Linked DNA regions of Ovis aries. The protein of the gene in region 1 binds, or shares a complex with, the protein of each later gene. Links are inferred from orthologs where the notes say so. Each region holds a gene or a part of one and is shown in the gene's direction. Other genes may lie near its edges.

Region 1 (4,510 bases):
GCCACTCCAGAGCATGGGTCATCACCAAATCGTAAAGAAAAGGGGTGTTCTTTTTCCATATTTTGTATTCTTCGTTGATCACACGTTCTTCTACTGCGTCATCAAAGGCTGCTAAAAAATAAAAAAACAAATTAAGTTAGCGACCACAAATGGAAACCGAGTAAACACTTCCAAAGCCACCGGCACTCCTAAATCCCGATTCTGAAATGGAGATCTGTCTAAATCTCCTCGAGGCACAGCCACCAACGCCGCTCTCCGGCCTCGCGGGGCTTTAACTGCTGGGCTCATCGCTGCCAAACGCCGTTAGCCGCTCGGGCGACGGCATCGGGAGGAGCACAGAACCGGCGGGGAGGCCGGAGCACCGGCCATTGCGGGCAGAAAGCACTGCAGGGAGGACCCGAAGAGAGGCGAGCAGACCGACAGGGCGTGTGGAGAAGGACCAAACACCCGCCGGGGACCCAAACGCCTGCCTCAAGCCGCTGCGCCGGGGCCTCTGCTCTGGAGGAGCTGGCGCGCCGTTAACCCGCCCCGCGGGGCGATTCTCCTCACGCCTGCGATGGCGGGGACGACACTCAGCTGAGTCTGGCCTGTCCTCACTGTTAGGCCGTTTCGAGGCCGCTACGCAACCCCGGCACCCCCCACTCTCCTGGGGCCGCCCCGGAACCCTCACCTTCCTTGTCGGCCATGGCGGGTAGGCAAGCCGGCGGGGATCCCGGGGTTGAGCGTTGCGGGAGGGGCGGGGAGCCTGCGGGCGCTCGCTCTGCGCGCGCGGCCTCTATTGTTTCCTGCCGCCCCTGCGTGAGGGATGACTCGCGCACCTTCGCGCCAACACCGGCCAATCGGAGTGCGCCGAGCGGCGAGGTGGGCGGGGAAGTCGCGTTCGCAACCTATCCAGACGCGTAGAGTCTCTTGCCGCGGGGCCGAGGCGCGCGCTCCGCCCCTGCCCCCACACGGCCCCGAGCCGACTTCCTTCGCTTGCGCGCGCGCGGGTTGGTGAGAGTGAGCCGCCCGAGGTCACGTGAGAGGTTTAGGCCGCACGCTCCTGGGGGGGCAGCCATTTTCTTGAAGAGTGTTCAGCTAGCGACCCCTTGAAAGTAGGGCTTTGAATGAGAAATTTAGGATGTTTTGGGGTCTAGTTGGCCACTCTAGGGGTAAACTGGCAAGAAAGGCCTTTATTTCACCTCGAGGTATCTAATTCAAGTGTTGTCCTATTCCTAGATCCTCCAATATATTTGTTCCCTTACTTCTTAGGACTATTGATGAAGCACGTCCAGAAAATGGGCCTTTGGGCTTTTAAAGAACTCCAAGCGGCGAGACCTAGAACGGAAGTCTTAAGGATTAAGGTTTAGGGGATTAAGTCCTCGAGGATGGTGTTTTAGCCCTTTAAGGGTATCTGTCTAGGGGCGGAGTCTTGGGCGGATGTTGAAAGTCCGGGCTGAAGTCCGGCTGATGAAGGGCGGAAGTTGAGTTTGGGTCCAAACCCGCAATCATGGCGCAGGAAGGGGAAGATGTAAGAGATTACAATTTGACTGAGGAGCAGAAGGCGATCAAGGCCAAGTATCCTCCAGTCAGTCGGAAGTACGAGTGTGAGTAGGTGGCTCACTTCTCTCCTTGCGGGAGGGCTCTGGCTTCCTCTTCCACTTTGCGCCATAGGGTGGTTGGCGCAATTCCCGTTTTCGCCCTGTGTGAATGCTCATCTGAACTAATCCCGGGAAAGCTGAAACGCTGAAGAATAAAGACACCTGGTCTGAGAGTCGGGAAACCTGGGCTCCCCCATATACAATATCTTGAACTCTCCCTGTATATGCTAGTCACATTTATCTTATGGGAATTTTTGTTGTTTAGTTGCTGAGTCCTGTCAGATTCTGCTACCTCAGGGACTGCTGTTCGCCAGCCCCCTCCCCCGCCCCATCTCCTGGAATTTGTTCAAATTTATGTCCATTCAGTCGGTGATGCTATGGAACAATCTAATCCTTTGACCTCCTGCCCCGATTTCCTTTTGCCTTCAATTTTCCCATCATCAGTGAAAGTCGCTCAGTCGTGTCGGACTGTTGGAACCCCATGGATTATATAGTCCATGAAGTTCTCCTGGCCAAAATACTGGAGTGGGTAGCCTTTCACTTCTCCAGGAAATCTTCAGAACTCAAGGATGGAACCCAGGTCTCCCTCAATGCAGGTGGATTCTTTACCAGCTGAGCCAGCAGGAAGCATCAGGGTGTTTTTCAGTGGGTTGGCTGTTTGCACCAAGTGGCCAAAGTATTGGAACTTCAGCTTCCAACTATAGTCCTTCCAATGAATATTCAGGGTTAATGTCGTTTAGAATTGACTGGTTTGATCTCCTTGCAGGCCAAGGGACTCCCAAGACCTGTTCCAGCACCACAATTCAAAAGCATCAATTGTCCCGCGCTCAGCCTTTATGGTCCAGTGCTCACATCAGTCCGTGTGTGTGCATAGTCGCTCAGTCCTGTCGACCCTTTGCAACCCCATGGACTGTGGCCCACCGCGTTCCTCTGTCCATGGGGATTCTCCAGGCAAGAATTCTGGACTGGGTTGCCATGCCCTCCTCCAGGGGATCTTCCCATCCCAGATCAAACCCAGGTCTCTCACATTGCAGGCGGGTTCTTTACCGTCTGAGCCAGCAGGGGAGTCCCACATCCATACAAGACTGCTGGAAAAGCTATAGCTTTGTCTACACAGACCTTTGAGGGAGTTTTACTGGTGTATTCATTGTGAAGAGAGCCATGTTTTGAAGTGTTTTGTGTAACCACCCCCATCCTCATCTATCTCCAACAGTCCTGTAGTTAGAATGTGGCTAGGGTAGAGGATAAGAAAGTTATAAGTAGAGGACTACTAATGTCTTACTTGTATCCTGTGTTAGTAAAAGGACCTGGTTTGCCATTTGTAGCTTAGTGACTTTAGGCAAATCACATAACCTCTTTTTGCATTCTGTTCCTTCCTGTGAGGGCAAAATGAGATAATAATAAATGTGAAAATATAGTGCAGATTCTAAAGTTAGTCTATATAAACGTTAAATTGTTAGCCCTAAAGGTGGATGTGGTTTGGGAGCACAAATTTGGCTCTTATTTCCCCTCTAAAGTTCTTTAATTAATTTCACATTGTTCTCTGTATGCTGGTGTTTAGTTGCTAAGTCCTGTCCAACTTTTTTGACCCCATGGACTAGAGCCCATCAGGCTCCTTTGTCCATGGGTTTCCCAAGGGAAAATACTGGAGTGGGTTGACATTTCCTTCTCCAGGGGATCTTCCCAGCCCGGGTCTTGGAAAACCGTCTCCTGCTTGGTAAGCAGATTCTCTTATCACTGAGCCACCTGGGAAAGTCCTCTGTATAGAGTACAACTATTTATCATAGCATACTAGGCTCTGTACTTTCTAGACCCTGCGTGTCTCCCTAGCTCATTTTTCTCTTCAATCAATTCAGTCACTCACTCAGTTCCAACTCTGCAGCCTCATGGACTGCAGCACACCAGGCTTCCCTGTCCATCAACAACTCCCAGAACTTGCTCAAACTCATGTCAATCAAGTTGGTAATGTCATCCAACCATCTCATCCTCTGTCATCCCCTTCTCCTCCTGCCTTCAATCTTTCCTAGCATCAGGATCTTTTCAAATGAGTCAGTTTAGTCAAAGTATTGGAGTTTCAGCATCAGCCCTTCCAATGAACATTCAGGACTGATTTCCTTTAGGATTGGCTGGTTGGAACTCCTTGCAGTCCAAGGGACTCTCAAGAGTCTTCTCCAACACCGCAGTTCAAAAGCATCAATTCTTCGATGCTCAGCTTTCTTTATAGTTCAACTCACATCCATATATGACCACTGGAAAAACCATAGCCTTGACTAGACGGACCTTTGTTGGCAAAGTAATGTCTCTGCTTTTTAATAAGCTGTCTAGGTTTGTCATAGCTTTTCTTCTAAGGAGCAAGTGTCTTTTAATTTCGTGGCTGTAGTCACCATCTCCAGTAATTTTGGAGCCCAAGAAAATAAAGTCTGTCATTGTTTCCATTGTTTCCCCATCTAGTTGCCATGAAGAGATGGGATAGGGTGCTGTGATCTTTGTTTTTTGAATGTTGAGTTTTAAGCCAACTTTTTCACTCTTTCACTTTCCTCAAGAGGCTCTTTAGTTCCTCTTCTCTTTCTGCCATAGGGTGGTGTCTGAGGTTATTGATATTTCTCCCAGCAATCTTAATTCCAGCTTGTGCTTCATCCAGCCTGGCATTTCTCATGATGTACTCTGCATATAAGTTAAATAAGCAGGGTGACAGTGTATAGCCTTGAAGTACTCCTCTCCCAATTTTGAACCAGTCTGTTGTTCCATGTCTGATTCTAACCATTGCTTCTTGACCTCCATACAGATTTCTCAGGAGGCAGGTAAGGTGGTCTGGTATTCCCATCATTTTTCTCTTTTGATTCAGAATTCAAAAAGTATGACAGGTATGCAGTGAAAAGTCAGCTCTAATCCCAGGCCCCTTGGTCTTGCTTTCTAGATCAGCCAGTCAT
Region 2 (2,998 bases), on another chromosome or scaffold:
AGAATGTTTATATCAGCTTGTCTAGTATATACTCTTCAGTTTGAGCACTCTATGACAAACTTAAGAGCCAAAAGTCAGAAGTATGGGAATTGGGTAATTTTACAATATCAATTCTCAGTGCAGTGAGAAAGGTGTCCTGTAGCAGGAGATGGTTGTATATAAAGTCGGTTTGCTAATTATTGTTAAGTTAGGCACCAGTGCTTGGGCCTTCCTGCTTCCATTTTAGATCAGCCTCCTCTATTCTGAAAGTGTTCTGATTTTAAATATGTTACTTTATATCATGCATCAAGGTCTTTCTGGATCAAGAGTTCTCTTAAGTGATATTGCCCGTCTCTTTTCTGAGTTTGTAATTGATAGTCTAATTATTTGAGGGCAATCTTATTATCAGATCTTGGAACAGCGTCCCTGTATATCCACCAACATTGAATGTTTGGTGGAGAGACCAATGAGGATAACCAAGAAAAGCTGCTTTTTGGATTTGGTAATTAGGACATTATTGCCGACTTTATAGTATACTTTGAAGAATATATGTGTACTTTGAAGCTTGTCCAACAGTGAGGAATTTGTACTTTTTTGTCTTCATTTATGATATAAAGTAGTAAAACATGATTTTGATTAGAGGATCAGGAAAGTAGAACACAACTGATTCATAGGTCATTTTGGCTGAGGCACATTTGGCTTTATCTTTACTGAAAGACACTAGCAGGAAATGATTTGCTTCCTATTGGTCTCTGTTCATGGACATATAAAATAGCTCCTTTCTACAGAAATTTAGGTACTTGAAGCAAACTCTTCCTTAGTTTATTCTGTGAAATACTATGAAGCATGGTTAAGGAAGTATATTGTCTTAATTTTTTTAATAATATAGTAACTAGTATCATTGAAAGTTAGCTTAAGTTTCTCATAAAAAAGGGAATAGTTCATTGAAAATCCTTATAGCTCTTTGCAGTTGATAACCTTCGTCTCTGCCTGTATTACACCCACGTGTTATCATATGTACTTCATACTTTGTTGAAATAAAATGTGCTTAGAAATAGTCTTTTATGAGATAATCTATTACCAAACCAGTGGCAATAGAAAGTCCAGAGTTGTGTGAGTGAATATGGAGTTAAGTTGTATAGGGTATGAAGTTTATGTACATTGTAAATGTTTTGCTAAAAAGTTTTCTTAGTGTGATGGGTACTACATTTGTTATAAAATTTACTAAAAACGTTTAAACAAGTTCTTAAGTTTCATACATATTCTCTCACACTGTTTAAAAAACAGCACATTGTGAGCAGTTTGTCACACATCACTTTTATATTTTCAATATTAGTTCATATTGCCATGTCTGGTACTTTCATGTCCTAAAATATTTGGCTTCTGTTTCTTTATTAGAACAATAACTTCAATGTTGCTTGCATCCTTTAAGTAAATTTTGACTTTTGCAATATTGGAAACTGAAAGAAAATATTTCTTTACACAGGTGCTGATGGGAAGGGTGCCTGACAGGGGAGGACGGCCGAATGAAATTGAACCACCACCCCCTGAGATGCCGCCTTGGCAAAAGAGACAGGAAGGCGGTGGAAGGGGTGGGTGGGGTGGGGGAGGTGGCAGAGGAGGTGGTGGGAGTGGGAGAGGTGGTGGAGGCGGGTGGGGAGGGGGAGGGGGAGGGGGGTGGGGCGGGGCCGGGGGAGGGGGTGGTAGAGGAGGAGGTTTCCAAGGCAGGGGAGATTATGGTGGGAGGGGAGATTATGGTGGAAGAGGAGGCTATGGAGGAAGAGGAGGCTATGGTGGAAGAGGTTACGGAGATCCGTATGGAGGAGGTGGTGGTGGATATAGAAGATACTAAAAGCCACAAAATTTAGATAGCAGTGCTTACTTCTTGATAGGTACATTAGGCATAGTATTCTAAATAACTACTTGAGTGTCATCTTTGAAGTAAACACCATGTTAGATTCCCTGATGGTATCATTCTTGAATTGGCTTGACTATGTAAAAGAACATTGTTTTATATTACTGTTTGATCTCTTAGACAAAGTGATGATTTTTTCCACACTCTGTGTACTCTTGAGCATGTTCTGTCTTTTTAAAAAAGAAAAAAAATGAGGAAAAAATATTTTTAAAAGTGTAAATATATTATTACCATCAAACTTGGAAAATGGAAAGTATTTTATTGTCATGATTGAATTTAGATTGTTACCTGTATTTTATTCAGGTCTGAGACACATAAATGACCCCACTTGTAGTGGAAAGGAATATAAACTTATTGCCTCATCTGTAGTCCTGTGGCTGTTTTGTATTTGTTAATTCTCTTTTACAAAATAGGAAAAGAGACTGATAATTGTCTTCAGTAAGTTGTCATGACTTGTGTTTTTCTTTTATTCTGAGCAATTCCTCTGGCCAGGTTTCTGTTAAAATTCCAATAATTGAAGCCCAAGTCTATTTTTTGCTACACATATTTATTTTCCAACTGGATTTGAAATCTGTATGATTTTGTTTGACAGAGCAGAATTAAAGACTGAGGTCAGAATTACTGTAAAGGAACAAAGACATGAACCAATTTTACATGGTGTTGTGAGAAAAATTTCTGCAAATTGGTTTCTTCATTTGTGGCATCGCTTTAGGTATCCAAATATTAAAAGGCAGGTTGCTCTGTGCCGTACAGGATTAGGACACTTATATCCAGTTTTATCGATCAAAGGTAGGGCCATGATATCCTTTGGTAATTATAATTCACAGTTAGATTTGGGAAACACAAGGTTACAGGATGTTTAAATGTGATTTGTTGGTTGGAGCAGTCAAAGGCTTGGGAATCAGGAGTTGTGAATTTAAATCATGGCACTAGCCCAGGGTGGGGGCTGTAGGCTTAAATGGCCATAGCTCTCAGAGATTAATTTGTCTTCTTTTTTCAAATGAGGAATGCGACACTTGAGCCTTCTCAGGTTGTTTTATAAAGACCTAAGTCCAAGTCCAATTTGTTGAGAGTTTATAGACGCCTGTTGTGAAAGGTGTAAAA

The links.
Region 2: ZBTB8OS (region 1) and FAM98B share a complex: the UniProt entries of both Homo sapiens proteins name them as parts of the tRNA-splicing ligase complex. The link is inferred for Ovis aries from reciprocal best matches to the Homo sapiens genes ZBTB8OS and FAM98B.

Annotation. Positions count from the first base shown.
Region 1 is NC_056055.1:234,983,517-234,988,026, forward strand, and holds the start of ZBTB8OS (protein archease), read left to right. Parts: upstream 1-1,465; 5' UTR 1,466-1,489; coding exon 1,490-1,586; exon of another isoform or gene 1,587-1,590; intron 1,591-4,510. Other genes in the region: histone-binding protein RBBP4, read right to left, coding at 1-111, 671-686. UniProt on the Homo sapiens protein: Component of the tRNA-splicing ligase complex required to facilitate the enzymatic turnover of catalytic subunit RTCB. Together with DDX1, acts by facilitating the guanylylation of RTCB, a key intermediate step in tRNA ligation.
Region 2 is NC_056060.1:32,293,728-32,296,725, forward strand, and holds the end of FAM98B (protein FAM98B), read left to right. Parts: intron 1-1,465; coding exon 1,466-1,831; 3' UTR 1,832-2,332; downstream 2,333-2,998. UniProt on the Homo sapiens protein: Positively stimulates PRMT1-induced protein arginine dimethylated arginine methylation.